Linked DNA regions of Mytilus edulis. The protein of the gene in region 1 purifies or fractionates together with the protein of each later gene. This does not show direct contact. Links are inferred from orthologs where the notes say so. Each region holds a gene or a part of one and is shown in the gene's direction. Other genes may lie near its edges.

The links.
Region 2: the proteins of nucleoporin Nup43-like (region 1) and nuclear pore complex protein Nup133-like purify together in Homo sapiens (affinity purification with mass spectrometry; 5 studies listed by BioGRID and IntAct, counting the BioPlex papers as one, with this or other methods). This does not show direct contact. The link is inferred for Mytilus edulis from reciprocal best matches to the Homo sapiens genes NUP43 and NUP133.

Annotation. Positions count from the first base shown.
Region 1 is NC_092353.1:66,794,995-66,803,577, forward strand, and holds the start of nucleoporin Nup43-like, read left to right. Parts: upstream 1-5,381; 5' UTR 5,382-5,422; coding exon 5,423-5,542; intron 5,543-7,924; coding exon 7,925-8,065; intron 8,066-8,583. Other genes in the region: synaptic vesicle glycoprotein 2C-like, read right to left, coding at 3,224-3,284. UniProt on the Homo sapiens protein: Component of the Nup107-160 subcomplex of the nuclear pore complex (NPC). The Nup107-160 subcomplex is required for the assembly of a functional NPC.
Region 2 is NC_092346.1:60,727,592-60,735,858, reverse strand, and holds the start of nuclear pore complex protein Nup133-like, read left to right. Parts: upstream 1-4,902; 5' UTR 4,903-4,999; coding exon 5,000-5,136; intron 5,137-8,267. Other genes in the region: uncharacterized protein, read right to left, coding at 3,032-4,651. UniProt on the Homo sapiens protein: Involved in poly(A)+ RNA transport. Involved in nephrogenesis.

The DNA of each region.
Region 1 (8,583 bases):
TGTCCACAGTACACGGATGCCCCACTCGCACTATAATTTTCTGAAAATCTGAAATGAGAAAAAAATACATACATTAAAGCAGGGTAAGGGAGGTAATCCAAACATTTTTTTTTATCATTTGGATAACCTCCCTTACACTGCTTTAAAATTGTCTTAATTGTCCATTAACCAGTAAAACCCTTGTTTTTTCCATATTTTCCCCCCCTAATTCCTAAACAGTTTGAGCCATATACCCCCTTAGTCCAATCATTACCATCCGTTTCTGGTATGGAACCTTGTGGTATAATTTCAGAGAGATCCCTACACTGTTCCATAAAATATTGTCTAGAAACTAGAAAAATGCTTATTTTGGCCCCTAATTCCTAAACTGTTAGGACCACAACCCCCAAAATCAATCCAAACCTTCATTTTGGGGTTCATAGATTTCTATTCACTTAAACTAAAGTTATTGTCTGGAAATCAAGTGTCTTTGGACGATGGTGACGACAATGACGACGTGCTAGCAATATACGACCACAAAAATTTTACAATCATATAAAAACGAGACTTCTTCTAGCTTCAGTTCATAATTATACTCATAAGGGTCACAATCTGGTTAACATAATATAGAGTAATGGGCCAATACCACCTAAAAATGGATCAAAAGATAAGAAAAACAGAGAAACATTATAATGAAATGAGAAAAAAACACTGAAACCAAGGACCCCCATACCGACCCTCACTCATGACTCATGAAATTGCTGGAAAAGCAAAGAATGAAACTGGAAAAATAATTGATAGAACATGAAAAAGTTACAGAGTCCTTGTTATATATTTTGATACTTTTCGATTTTCCTTTTCAATGTAAATAATAAGTCTTACATAATATATATACATGTATATATATACTTACCTGTTAAGTCATAGGTATCATCAAAAGAGGAATACATATATATTTATCTCCACACTTAATGTGATGTATAAAACTAATGTGGTTAAAAAATATTAAAGTGTAAAATCTATCAGCACATAAATTGGATGTGCTTGACTGGTTTTAAATTTCATTTATTGTGATCTAACTATACATGTACTGGTATGTGCTGTCCTTAACCTTTACCTAGTTTTTCAACCTGTCTAACCAGATTATAAAATTGACATTACAATTGAGTGATTTAGATTAAATTGACCAGCTGGTATTGTTTAAGTTGAGTCTACCTTGCTATATATGTACCTGATCTGTTATTTGTTGTTTATCTAACCTAATCTAATAGCATGCTTTTTTCCTGAACTTTTCTTCACCTAGGATTATATTCTATTATAAAAATGTTAAGGAATGATGTTTTCTGGTTTTTTTCTGGTTTTAAATCCATATAATAGAGATAGTCATTCTCATTTTGACTCAAAAAATCTACATCCGTGATTTTTTTTTATAAATTGAAGTCATTAGCATACACGGAAATTACTAGTAAAAGTATTTTTTATATAAAACATGAACCTTTAAATTGTTTACTCCTAAATATAGTATTATCAGGTTTTCAGTGAAACAAGAAATAGCTATTTAGATGTTTACAGTTTCAGGTTTTTTTTTATAAAATTCAGTCTGATATAATTATGTCATATTTGTTTTCATATCCCTGCAAAATTTTCATTTTGGAGTAGTAAATATAAAAAAAAACATCAAAATAATCTGATTGCTATTATAACTGATTTAAGTGTAAATTAAAGGCCGTCTAAATGCTTACATTATTTTATATTCTTTAGGGAAACAAATGAATTGTATCATAAGAAGTTGAAAAGATTTTATTGGCAGAATGACAACAATATATGGAAGTCAATAATTCATAAAATGTCAATCTGATATTTGTGACAATTTTTACATATAAATCTACAAAATTTCTAATAAATTGTTAAATTTGTATGATAAAGATGAATGTATTATGTATATAATCTGTTAGCAACATCATTAGACAATCATGAATGATAATGTGAGTCTAAAGGAGGCTGGAAGGTACAAAAATGTCAGCAAAAATATTATTTTTTTGTTTTTATTGCAAATTGCATTTATTACACTATCAGTTGTTACTTTATGATATGGTAAAAATAAATATCAATCAAAAACATGATTTCATTTTGGCCCCAGATGACTTTTAAAATGTTTATCACATTGAAAAACTCCAAATTATCTCCCTTTGCCAATTTTAAACATCATTATGTGTTGACATAAATTGCTGCTGCAATATAATAAGATTTGAGATTTTACAAAAGTTTTTCATTTGACCATTATATATACGATGTCCTCATAATAACATACCATACACAAAAGAAAAAATTGCATTTAAGAATTGAATGCTTCTTTTTGTAAATTTATGGGATGTAAAAGCATTGACCGAAGTACATTTTGTGTGAGCACATAACATTCTTAAATTGTTGGTAGACTCAACACTTTGAAAATTGAAGAAATATAAGCTCATGCTATTTTTATTTAAACTAACACAATTCAGTTTTTTATTTTACCATATTTTCCATTGACCAAGTTTGATGAAAAACTTTGGTAGTGACAAATGACCAATGACTTGGACCAATTCAAGTTTACCAGTTTTGACCAAGTTTTTGATGAAAAACTTTGGTAGTGACAACCAATGATTTAAACCAAGTTTACCAGCTTGACCAAGTTTTTGATGAAAAACTTTGATTGTGACAAAAGATGAATTAGACCAATGAAGTTTACCTGATCACAGAATACTTTTACCTGTTTAACTTTAATAGTTACAATGATGCTACACCAGAGGCGGATTAAGGGAGGGGGGGCCCAGGGGGGGGGCCTGGGCCCCCCCCTTTTGAGAAAAAAATTTGGTTGCTTATATAGGGAATCACTGAGGCTTGACGAAATCGGCCCCCTCTTAGGCAGCCAGTGGGCCCCCACTTATGAAATTTCTGGATCCGCCACTGTTCACATGGTATTAATTCACACATTTTCCTAAAGTGGTACAAAAAACATGATAAAGCATGCATCCACTTAAAGAATAACAGAAAAATTGGAAATTGAAAAAAAATTAAGTACAGGTACATGTATTAGATAGACATAAAAATTATTTCCCCTGAGAATTTAAACTGTATATTGATAATTTGTAAATTTTATATATGTCACTAAAATAATATACTTACACAAACACGCTCCAAATAAAGAGTATATAAAAGAGTGAAAATTTAATGACTGAGTGTAACAGTGTCAAATAATAATTACCTTGATTGGCAATGAGTGGGTCATACTCATCAGACCGTGACATCTTGAAATTCTCTTCCATCAGAGATCAGGCTAAAAAACAAAGAAAAATCAAAATAAAACTTCTATCTCATTTAATATACATGTATGTAAAGTGACCCGGTCCAATACTAAGAATGGTCTAAATATTCAAAATTGAGAATTTGTATTGGAACAGATATTTGGTTGTTTCTTTAATTTATTTACATCTACAAATTATTTAATAGCACATATTTCTTCGCTGATCATATTGGAAATTAGAAAAGCGAGTATTATTTTGACGTTATTTCTGAATTAAGGAGATTTCACATATATATTTTAAATGGTTTATTATACAATGTATGACACATATATATTTTAGATAAAGAGCTACACTTAGAAAATATTACAAAATGGTTTTCAAGATCTTGACCTAAATAATATAAATGTTGTAATATGTAATTATTTTATACAGTTAAGAATAAATAACTTGAAAATGAAAACATGTGAAAGATTTAAGTGAAAATACTCTAATATCAGACAAAGGTCAACTCTTGAATTATTCTTTTAACATTTTTGTTTGTTTGTTAAGTAATTAAACTATTTGAAATTAAGCAAATTAAAGATAGGCAAGATAAAAATAATTGCACACTCCTTAAAATTAGAGACAGATAATTATGCGAAAAACTATAGATGGATCACAAATGTTATGTTAAAACATGCATGTTGGATAAGTTGAAGATGACATGGACATGATGGATGAAGAGCATTTCATATTTGAATGTCCCCTCTAAATTTTTTTAATAAAACAATTCTTTGACAAAGTTTTGATTGATATAATTTTTGGTGTAATAACACCACTTTTAAGCCCAGGTTTTAGGCTATTTTGTTGGGTCCAGTTTTTATTGGTGGAGGAAGCCGGAGTGCCCGCATAAAACCACCAACCTTAGATAAGAAAACTGACAATCCTAGTCAATTAAGATTGGAGTCAAGTGCACCCACACGAAAAAAAAAAGGGGGGGGGGGGGGCTTTCAACCTCAGTGTTGACTGGCTAGTGATTACAGTAGTAACTACATTTTTGTACTTAGACCACTTGGGCAATGAGGCCCCAATAAAATTTTGATAAGTTGTCAAGGGTTAAGTTAAGCAAAGTTACAAATGGAGTTATCCCTCTTTGTACTGGCCCTCTCCACTTATTTATTTATTTATTTATGACCACAAATGTATACAAAAAGCATGTACCACCAGTATTCCATACGTGTGTAGATATTGCATGAACTCAGTGATTTTTATTGGATCAGATTTATATGCTCAATATGGGCCCTATACACCTTATCGCTAAACCCCGGCTGACCCGTTCGCTTGAACTTTTGACGCAAACAACAATCACTTTTTCATTGTGGCGTCAGATATTTTGTATTGTGATGTCAAAATTTTATGGGAACCTGTGTGATATCCAGTAATGGCGGACAAATAGCGATGAGGTGATAAAGACACTTTGGTTGATATGCAATCAGCCATGTTTGCCTTGTGTATACCATATTAAATACTATTATAAAAGCTAAGCAACTTAATTCTTTACATAAGAACAGGATATAAAAAACATCAAGCACATACATGACATAAGCAGTGGCGGATCCAGAAATTTTCATAAGCGGGGGCCTACTGACTGACCTAAGAGGGGGCCCGCTCCAGTCATGCTTCAGTGATTCCCTATATAAGCAACCAATTTTTTTCCCAAAAAGGGGGGGCCCGGGCACCCTGGCCCCCCCTAAATCCGCCTGTGACATAAGCACATAAAATAATAAAATCAAATCTAAACTTACTTACAACTCGGAGTCGTACCCTTGTATATTTTTTCCCAAGCTAACCATAAAGGATGTGTATAGACTATAGTACAAGAAAGTTTAGACAGAATAATTAACGTCTACACAGCCTTATTTCCAAAATATTATATGACATGATCAGTTTATAGGAAGAAACAAAAATAAATATCTTACCATTCATATAAATCTGTTAATGAATTATACGTGTGAAACATTTAGTTGTAGGTTCATTGACTCTCAAATGCTGTATTGAACTGAAGTTTGTGATGACAAAATTCTATTTTTTGACATGTAAACATTTGTTTAATTTTGGAATGAATTCCGGAAAAAATCCGGCATCGTTCCGGATGTTCCCGCCATGTGCAAATTTTGAAAATGGCTGACATAAGAGCAACATTTGCTTCACAGAAAATCAGCAAAATCAGATGGAAAAACATTATAAAAAATAGTCTTGAGGGACCAGACACATTTGTCACAGGAAGCTGGGATGATGAGGTCATTATATATCATAAACTGAATGATTCTTACAGTATATAAACCATATAAACACAAAACTTTAACAATTTGCTACATTTTCCCTGTTATTCTCGAATTATATGTATTTGAGCTATAGCTATAGACTGCATATGACTTTTAAATGAAGATCCATTCAGGAATGATTTAATAGGTTACTAAAAGAAAGTCAAACTGATTATTTTATGGCATCTTGTTATTTTAAGAGAAGTGATGACTGATGAGTGATGTTATGACAAATTAAGACAACTTTCTATTTAGACTCATTTCCGTCAAGAACTTTGGTTTTAATGAACATCATTCTTGCATTTAGGGGCGTCATCACTTCTGTTCAAATGTTGAGTAAGTGGTTGGAAAACTATAAAGCTTAAGTGCACAAATTATTCGGCAAATTAAATTCTCATTCATGTCATTTTAATAAACGTATTTACACTTTTGGTATTTAGCTGTATCTTGCCCCAGAATGACCTTAGATCGACTCCAAATCACCTTTTGACGTCAAGCAACAATCACCTTTAAATTGTGACGTCAAATATTTTAAATTATGATGTCAAAGTTTACAGGAACCTGTGTGATTTTACGTAATGGCGGACAAATTTGCATACAAAGTGTAAATACGTCTATTGTCTTTCAGCACTGCTGTCATTAGGGAATTCTGTCTGTATCTATAGTGGTACATGTATGTGTAGAATCCTGTTTAGGCTTTTATACACGGTGGAGAAAAGCGCCGTTGTTATGGGCGGTGTTCTTGTAGAGTGGTCTTAAATGCCTCTACAGAACCTGCATGCACAACTTTATCTGGTAGTTGGTTACAGTGAATAGTTGTTTCCATAAAAAATGAATGTTTATTCTGTGGTTTGTTTATATTTGGTACTTTAAGTCCTCTGGTGTTATTGATGACCTTGACGTTCGATGATATTGTCAGTTTCACAGTCTGAATATGTTTTGGCTTTGATCGTTCGCTAGGGTCGTGCTGGTATGACAAAATAGTCCGCTGGTGGAGCTGGCACCAGAATTGTGATTAAGTGCAAAAATATTATTTCTAGTTTATCCTCCACAATGACGACAACTTAGACACTTGATGAGCATTTATAGTGCAGGGATGCATGCGATCCCCTCTATCTGGTAAATGACGTCTGACATAAAGGCGTGCACTATTGATGAGATTATCTGGTGACGGACAAACTCGAAAGTGTTCTATTGATGCTACATTTATAGAAGATAGTTCCAGGATAGCTCTTGTTTCAACTTAGAGGTTAAAAAATGTTTTAATTTCATGCATAAGCCTAGTTTTCCTCAGAGGGAAATTTGTGAACAGAATAAATTTGAATAATGGATTTTCACCTACAGAGAAATGCAAAAAGTCACAATGGCCATGATGGCGGCATGTTTACTTTGAAAATGAGTGTTGCAAAGTTCAAGCTTGCGCTGTAAATAAATCAACCAGTGAAATACAAAAAAATAGAAAATTAAGATACATGTACATGTAAGAAAATTTTATTTTGATTTCTGCATAAGTACAAATATACAAAACAAGCTCTAAGGAGCTTTTGACCAAATATAAAAACATATAAATAACATAAAAACTGTTTAATTTGACAACCTGTAATACAAAGTTGAATCTCACATACATTTGTACATACACGTACATGTAGCATGCAATAAAAATATGCAACAAATTTATAAAACTTACTTTAATACTTTGTTAGATGTCCTTTGAGCTTGATTACATTTAATATCCTTTTCGGAATTGTATTTATTAAGCAATGAATATCGAAGGGCGTAATATTGACCCTAATCATGCAAATACGATAAATTTTTTCGAACATTTCATTTTGTAGATTTAATCATCCCAGTACGTGTTTGAAGTTTTCTTTTTATATACAATGTACATTGTATAACCAAATGTTTTCTATCACATTCAAGGGCACAAATTAAGTCTGATGACTGTGCAGGCCAGCTAACAATGTATTCCGTTCTAAGCTACAAATTTGTGGGTGTACTGTGCAATGATGGACAGGAGCATTGTCATCTTGGAAAAAAGGATGACCTACCCAAAATTGCTGAGCTAATAAGCCTCTAATGTTCATCAAGTATTTCTTGGTATTTAACTAAATTAATATTGCCTTCTACAGGAGCAAGTGTGCCAACGCCATTCCATCAAATACAACCCAAAAGTTAGAAAAAATGATAATGTACAATATAGAGGCCTTTCAGGTTGAGCTTATTTAAGGGAAAAAAATACAGTGCATATTTTCACAAAGCAGGATACATATTAGCTTAACACAGAAAGTTATTTATGATTTGTTTTGGACAAAATTAGGGTGATTGAAGTATGTTAAATTTAAATCTTTTCTTTTGCAGGAAAATAAAGTATGTTTATGGAAAGTTAATAGAGAAAAGAAATTTGATGATGGAGATGGCAGGGGAACAGAAGGGGATGTTGATAATGACCCAATACCTATTTGTGAGGCCTCTCATATAGGAGATGTAACAGGGCTAGAGGTTTGTTATACAGTTTATATACATAAAATTGAGAATAGAAATGTGTCAAAGAGACAACAACCGGACCATATAACAGACTACAGCACAAGGTCAAAAATAGGTCTTCAATGCAACGAGAAATTCCCACACCCAGAGGTGTCCTTCAGCTGGCCCCTAAATAAATGTATATACTAGTTCAGTGATAATGAACGCCATACTAAACTCCAGATTATACACAAGAAACTAAAGTTAAAAATAATACAAGACTAACAAAAGCCAGAGGCTCCAGACTTGGGACAGGCACAAATATGCGGTGGGGTTATACATTTTGTACATGTATGTTATCATTGTCAAATAGAAACCCTTCATATGTTGTTAGTCAGTTAATTTTTAAATCCAGTATCAGATAATTTCATGCATTTTAGTAGAGGACAAATGAGGTTGTGCTATTTTGTGGCAGTCAGATTTTATTGAGGACAAATGAGACATACATTGTATATCATGTTTTTACTGCCCCCGCTGTAGTAGCTGAGGGAACA
Region 2 (8,267 bases), on another chromosome or scaffold:
GGAAAATTCATCTAAAACTCTCCGCAATATTTTGCTTCTGTCGTCTTGAACACCACTGACACGTGGTCCTTGAACTTTCGCATTAAAATCACCAGCAAAAATTACTATGCCATTTTGACTATATACGGAATAGAGTTCGTGAAGTAAATCTACATATTCTTTAAACAAATCAATAGGGAGAGAAGCAGCGGGTAAGTATACACAGAAGAAGAAAATAGTCACATCATTAGGCCATAATCCTATCTGAATCGACATCAATTTCGTGCACAACATAACGATCGATATTCGATGAGACTAACAGTGCAACACCTTTTCTGTAATTAGAACATTTCTGTGTCGTTGGTAAAAGTTCGTCAACACTTTTAGCATAAATTTTGTATTTGCTATCAATCTGTTGTAGAAAGTGTATATTACATTTACGAAGCCAGTGTTCAGATAATGCGCAAATGTTAATATCGTATTTTTCCAAACAATTAGTTTAATAAGGAACAGCCGACATGACGCCTTTACAGTTCCAACACATTATGTTTATTTTTTCTGACATATCTTTAGATTTTCGTGAGTTGCTTAATCACCATCAGAGTTTCCGTATTGGTCAACTTTGACATTTTCATGTTTCACGTTAAATCCACTTTTCGGAATCCACCGTCTAACTCGAATACCAGTAGGCCAAAAAGCACGATCAAGAACTATGCTGCTGTCATTGCATACCACATTCAGTTGAGCGGAAAACGATGATCCATATCGGCTATTAAAAAATCTCAGAAACATGTAACGTATGCCGTTTTCTTCTAAAAACGATTTCATGCCATGTTCAGTTGATTCTAAGCTGATTCCACTTACAAAATAACGATCGACTCGATTTTTTCGACTACCTTGAAAATATGGATTTTCTCGAATTGATACCATATTGGCGTCATTAGCAACATGTACTGGTATTTTATGAAGTATGGGGTCTTTTTGTAATTGTCCCGTTGTTTCAGTTTTACTTTTGTTGAGGATTGTTTTAACTTGTTTCGACTGAGGCATATCATTCGAGTTTAAAGTTTTACGACCAGCATTTGAAGCTGAATAACTATTTTCAACATGAAGTAAGCTTGCTGAGTGTACAGGTGCACGAAGCGGGCCTTGTGATATCGGTACATGAACTAAATTTTCGGTTGATTGATTTGAATTGCTATTCACACTATTGGTGCTTAAGACCTCAGGGGTTTGGCGGACACATTCACAGTCAATGTTTTGTTCACGTAGGTTGGCTTTTATGACATCTGCAAAAGTTTTCTCATCACGAGATTTCAGATTTTTCTCTACGTTATTTACTTTTTTCCTAAGATGTTTCGAGATGTTCATATGCCGGATCATTATCTTTAAGCTTTTCATTTATAAGTTCAACTTTCGCTTTAAGTGCGTAAACACCGGTCATTCTTCGATCTGTTATAGTATTGATACGCAACGAATCGTTCCGTACATCCTGGCGTAAGTCTTTGATCGAGGCTTTCATTTGCGTTATGTCCTTGACATGCTGTTGCTGTCCTTTTAATTTTTCCAATAGCTGCGATAATAATTCTTAAATGATATAGGATACTGCATCTAATTTGTCATTGATATAATTACAAGGTGAATTCCAGTAACTCAAGTTCACGGGGACTTAGTTTCTTAGAAGATGTAGTATGATAATGTATTTTAAATTTTAATTTAAAGTATAACATTTACATAATTATATTTCAATCTTGTTCCCGCTTGGTAAAACACTTGAGTGTTCTCATTAAAGTATCTAATTTCAATTTTACCGAGAATCATAAAAAAAACAGTTCATTAATTTTTTTCTGAAACCAAAATAGCTAGTAAATAATGTCAGTAACTGCTAGTAGTCCTTTGTTAATTTATATATTATTGTCATTTTGTTCAGTTTCTTTTGTTCCCTATACTGATATCGGACTCGGACTTCTCTTAAACTGAGTTTTAGCTATGCGTATTGTTGTGCGTTTGTTTTTTTCTACATTGGCTAGAGGTATAAGGTTGGGGGGGGGGGGGGATGAGATCTCATAAACATGTTTAACCCCGCCGCATTTTTCTGGTGTATACTCGGAGTTTAGTAACATTTGTTTATGGGCCAGTTGAAGGACTCCTCCGGGTGCGGGAGTTTCTCGCTACATCGAATACCCATTGGTGGCCTGTTGTCTGTTCTATGATTGGGTTGTTGTCTCTTTGACTCATTCTCCATTTCCATTCTCAATCTTATTATTGCTTCATAAAGTAATGTAATGTTTATAATTGAAACGCTGTAATCACCCCTTTTGTAGTAATGTTTTTTCCTCAGCCAACATTAATTGTCGCTTTCTATAATATTAGTTAAGATGGGATAAATTTCGGATACAAAGTTGATAAATGGTTATACTGGCTTGCATCGGGATTGTCAATAATATCAACCGAGTCTGAGTCTAAAGTTATGATGAAACTATAATAACGTTTATATCGTTATAATATCATTGACATGAACTGAAAGCATTTTCAAACGAGTCTAAGTAAAAGTAATGCAGTAAAGCTGTAAAAAATCATTCGAAAAACTCAGATAACAGCTAGGCTTATTATTTTGTATAAGTTTTGTCTATTGATTGAAGCTAGAATTAAAATATGTACGAATTAAGTTGGAAGTTGGATCTTGCATTGAATTAACCCCCCCCCCCCCTCTACTATGGTCCATCAGGCTATTCTTCAAATAGAAAAAGGAATTCTCGCCGCCACTTCTTCTTCTTCTTCTGTTTGTATTGCCTTCCTTTAAGGAACACCAAGAATATCTTGTCATGAATGTTATTTACACTATCTACATATCTCCAATTCTCCTCACAGAATGTTTTATATATACACAAGCATACACGACCCACTTTTCCACTTTTATCAATTAATTTTTTTTTTCAAAATCAAAAAAAGTTATTTAAATTGTCTTTGGTGGAATTTTATATGGTTAATTTTAAATTTTAAAAGACTACATTGCCAATATCTCCAGCAATCAGATTTATAAGGTCACTGTTCATTTACATGTATCACTACCACATTGTTTATTGGGCACTTTTGCTGACTTTTCTAGCAGTTTCAGTCTCATTAAATATAGTTGATGACATAACACACTTGATAACTTTGTAATAGCATTTTGTTGATCCACACTAAAATATTTGCTAAAATTTGTACAGTCTAAAATTAGCAGAAGAATCGCATCTTTGTTTCCAAATAGCTCGGACCACTTGCTTTCACCAATCACATTGATAACCTCTATTTTGAGACGGTTATAATATATTTGTCTAGTTGAAAATAAGGCGGGACAATCAAGAATGATGTGCATTAGATCTTCGGAATATATTGTGCACAGTTTACAAATCTGATCTGAATGTTCTATGTTGTACTTGTGTTTGATAACTTGTGTCATAAATGTTCCAGTAAGCATTCTGGCTTTTGTAATGCCCATTTTAACCTCAGATACCATAGAACGCAACGATTTCCATATTATATGGGGCTTTCCAACAGCCAAATCTTTTGTATTGATATATTTCAGAGTTGATTTTTTGACAGACTCAGCTACTAATATATTAGTCCATGTTTTCTGGATTGCACTTTTACATTGATGTTTGAACGCTAATTTTGAAGGTTGTTCTGCCATTAGAGTATAAATTTTCGGCAACTTGTACTGTTCAAGAATATCCTGTATTCGACCAAAAAAGCTTTCTTGATTTTCACCGTTTACAGCCAATTGTCTCATCATGAGGTTCTTCAGAGTAGAGTTATTACAGGAGATAATGTTATATAGAAGGCTTAAGTGTCTTTTATGCAACTCTGCCTCTACAGGTAATGCACCAAGTAATAAGTAAACTATTTCTGTTGCTGTACGTGTCGGCAATGATTGGAATCGACGTAAATTTGAAATATGAAATTTCCTTAAAATGTCTATTTGTGATTTGTTCAGTGGCAACACTTCTAACCCAAACAGAAGCTTTGGCAGTATGTAAGACTGATATATTTTGTAGGCAACGATGGGATTGATTCCATTAGAGCCATGTAGTCCTGTGCTAATCAATGCATACATAGTCCTCCTTGCTAGACTAATACGATCCTCTAAATTCAGATTATTTTCTTTAAGCTCAGATCTAAGAATTCCCAAATGCACAGTTTGATTGGATGGCGAAATATCAGAGTCACCAAGTTTCCAAGATAATGTAGACTTAATACTGTTTGATTTACTAAAAACCACTGCTTTGGTCTTTTTGGGGTGAATTGAAACTCTGTCTTGCACAGCATGTCTATGTAAGGTTGATAACATACATTGTAGTTCGTTTGGATTTGAGGACAAGAGAGCGATATCGTCCGCACATGTAGGACATCCCAGATAAACATTGCCCATCCTGAAACCTAGTCTTGTTTCCTGTAATTCCATCAGTAAATTGTTGTTATAAATTTTATACAGTAATGGAGACAAAATGCCACCTTGTCTCACTCCCTGTAGTATATTAAATTTCGGACTTATTGCACCGGCCCATCTGACTTTTGAGGTCATACCATCATATAGATCTCTAACGATTGTCCAAATTTTAGGGTGGACACCTATTTCATACAACTTATCCAACACAATTACATGGCTGACAACATCAAACGCTTTCATACTATCAACAGTGATGAGACATAATGGAATTAATGGTGTAAGTTTGCTCTCACTGCTCGACAGACTCAATGCATATATCCTAAGATGAACACTTTACACTACATTTTTTTTGTCAAACCGCTCACATCATTGTTATAATCATTTTAATAACTATAAAAAATGAAATAATCATAGAAATTATATTTGAATTTCTTTTAATGTTCACTAGAATATATAAGGGGTGAATGGAAAACTTGAAAATGTTAATGTAGATCTATATTATTTTGATTGGGAAGGAACGTAAGCGACATAAATCCGTTTGCCGCAAAAAATAAAGTTTCATATGGTTGTATATATAAAACCATTAAAATGTTCACACCAAGAGGAATGACAACAAGATCAAGAGAATCTCCATTTTCACAGACAAAACAGAGTGGACGTGCTCAAAATAAAAGAGTTTCAAACTTGTTTACGCCAAAAGGGAAAGGCTCATCATCCTTTTCAAAGTACGAGTTTGATTTGTATGATTATTAGAAGTTTGTGTTTTTTTTGCATGAAATTAAAAAGTAATTATTTAACTACATCAACCAGTTGATACGCAAGTATCTGCATTAAATGTTTACCATACATCTCCTTAATCATGTTATAAATTATACTTGACTTACTTGGGAACATAACGATATGTATACACCTTATCGCTAATCCCAGCTGACCCAGACGCTTGAACTACTGATGCATACAACTATCATTTTTCCATTGTGGCGTCAGATATTTTGTTTTATGACGTCAAAATTTTACGGGAACCTGTGTGATATCCAGTAATGGCAGACAAATAGCGATAAGGTGTATTGACCAGTTGTTGATGGGACTTGCCACTACCTAATTATAGCAGATTTCATAGTCTGGTCATAGTTAATAAATTACACGATTTGGAAATGCACATGTTTAAACCAGTACTCACTATTATCTTAATAATTTCTAATAATACATACCTGCCAACTTTTTGAAATGCCCATGGGGGTTTTACATGCAAGATGGCTCTTGTAGTCCTACAAAACCATCAAGGGGGCCTTCAAAGGTATTTTAATGTTGTTTTTTGGCTTCTTCATACTTATACAAGCCTATAGCCATTGTAAAATTAAATGTTTTATTTTAAATTTTGGACAAAATTGCTCATTCAAAATCTCCATGGGGGAAAACCCCGTAAATAGTGACAGTTGGCAGGTATGATAATATTGATATATGTCATTTAGAATCCATGACAAGTCGCCCCACTGGCAAGTCGCCCCACACCTAATCGCCCCACTTTTTCACCAACTCGCCCCATTTAAAAAAAAAACGCCCCAACCTGGATTACCAAATCGCCCCACTTTTTTAATGTGTTAAATCCCGTTAATATTACTCCTGAAAACTCGCTCCACTGAATGGAAAAAGATAAAATCTAGATTAATATATTATTAACCAGGATGAATTTAGTAAAGCCAACTCGCCCCACTTATGGAAAAAGATGTTATTCCGTGAATATTACTCCTGCCAACTCGCCCCACTTAAAAGAAAACGATAACATCTAGATTTATATTATATTATTAACCAGGATGAATTTAGTAAAGCCAACTCGCCCCACTTATGGAAAAAGATGTTATCCCGTTGTATATAAGTTAAATTCTGTGAATATTACTCCTGCCAACTCGCCCCACTTATGGAAAAAGATGTTATCCCGTTGTATATAAGTTAAATTCCGTGAATATTACTCCTGCCAACTCGTCCCACTTAAGGAAAAAGATGCTATCCCATTGAAAACCTTATAGAAACTTCTTATATTATTCCTTTTTTTTAATATAGCAGTAAGAAGTGAGTATTAATATTTCGGTAACGTGAATGTCAACTAGCCCCACTTATGAATAGTACAAGTATGAATAGAGTTAAAGGCTACCAACTAGCCCCACTTACGAATAAAATAATTAAACTGAAATGTGTGTTGGCTTTCCAATTGGTCCCACTTATGGGAATGTTTGAAATGCTTCCTTTTTTTTTTTTTCTTTTCTAATCTAAATATTACCGTTTTCCATTAAGTGGGGCAAGTTGGCCGGGGTAATATTAAACATGATTTAACCAACTTCACATGTGGGGCGATTTTTTAAAAAGTGGGGCGATTTGGTAATCCAGGTTTCGGCGTTTTTTTTTAAGTGGGGCGAGTTGGTGAAAAAGTGGGGCGATTAGGTGTGGGGCGACTTGCCAGTGGGGCGACTTGTCCTGCTTCCGTCATTTACACATATTGAGGGATTCCATTGTATCTAACTTGTAATTTGTCACTTCAAATTTCTCATAATCACATTCATTTCATCAAAGAAGGGTACAAAATGCCAAAGGGGTAATAAAAATGGTACCGATAGCATTTTCAGTAACAACAAATTTCACTAACCATAATAAAGCACTTCATGTAAAACAAAAACCAACACTTATGTTGGTATTTTTATATGACAAAATATATCTACTGAAATATAAAACTTATATTGTTGAATGTTTTCAATATGTTGGTGATTTATTGAGCAATCTCGATGGTTTTGCAGTCAGCATGGTCAGACGATTCCAAAATCTTGCGTAGTCTTTTAAAGTTCGGGATTTTATCTGACAATTTAATCCTGATAAACCTATTAGAATAAATTCATTTCCTGTAAGATATACTGTTCCCAGACTAACTCAAAGACATATATGGTATATATAAGATAAAGGTGAAGGTTGTACCTATCAAAATGTTTAAACCTGACCACTGCTTTTGTTTGCACCTGTCCTAAGTCAGGAACCTGATGTTCAATAGTTGTCATTTGTTGATGTGGTTCAGAAGTGTTTCTAATTTTTTATACGACTGCAAAAATTAAAAATTATAACCTCTAAAGGAAGGTTGGGATTGATTTTGGGGGTTTTGGTCCCAACAGTTAAGGAATAAGGGGCACAAATAACCATTTTTCTTGGTTTTCACACAATAACTTTAGTATAAGTGAATAGAAATCTATGAAATTTAAACAGAAGGATTATGACCACAAAAGGAAGGTTTGGATTGATTTCGGAATTTTGGTCCCAACAGTTAAGAATTAGGGTCCAAAAGGGTCCAAAATTAAACTTTGTTTGATTTCATTAAAAATTAAATTATTGGGGTTCTTTGATATGCGGAAACTAGCTGTGTATTCAGATTTCTAATTTTGGTCCCGTTTTCAAATTGGTCTGTATTAAGGTCAAAAGGGTTCAAAATTAAATTAAAAAATTAGATTTTGGATTTGGGAACATAATAGGTAAATATCCAATTTAAATTTTTAAAATTCCTACACCACATTCATTCTATGTCAGAAACCTATTCTGTGTCACCTATTTAATCACAATCCAAATTCAGAGTTATATCAAGCTTGAATGTTGTGTCCATACTTGCCCCAACTGTTCAGGGTTCAACCTTTGTGGTAGTATCAAGCTGCACCTGCGGAGCATCTGGTTATATACATGTACTACTAAGATTAGACCATTGGTTTTCCCCTTTGAATGGTTTTACACTAGTCATTTTTTGGTCCCTTTACAGCTTGCTGTTCTGTGTGAGCCAAGGCTCCTTATTGAAGACTGTACTTTGACCTATAATGGTTTACTTTTA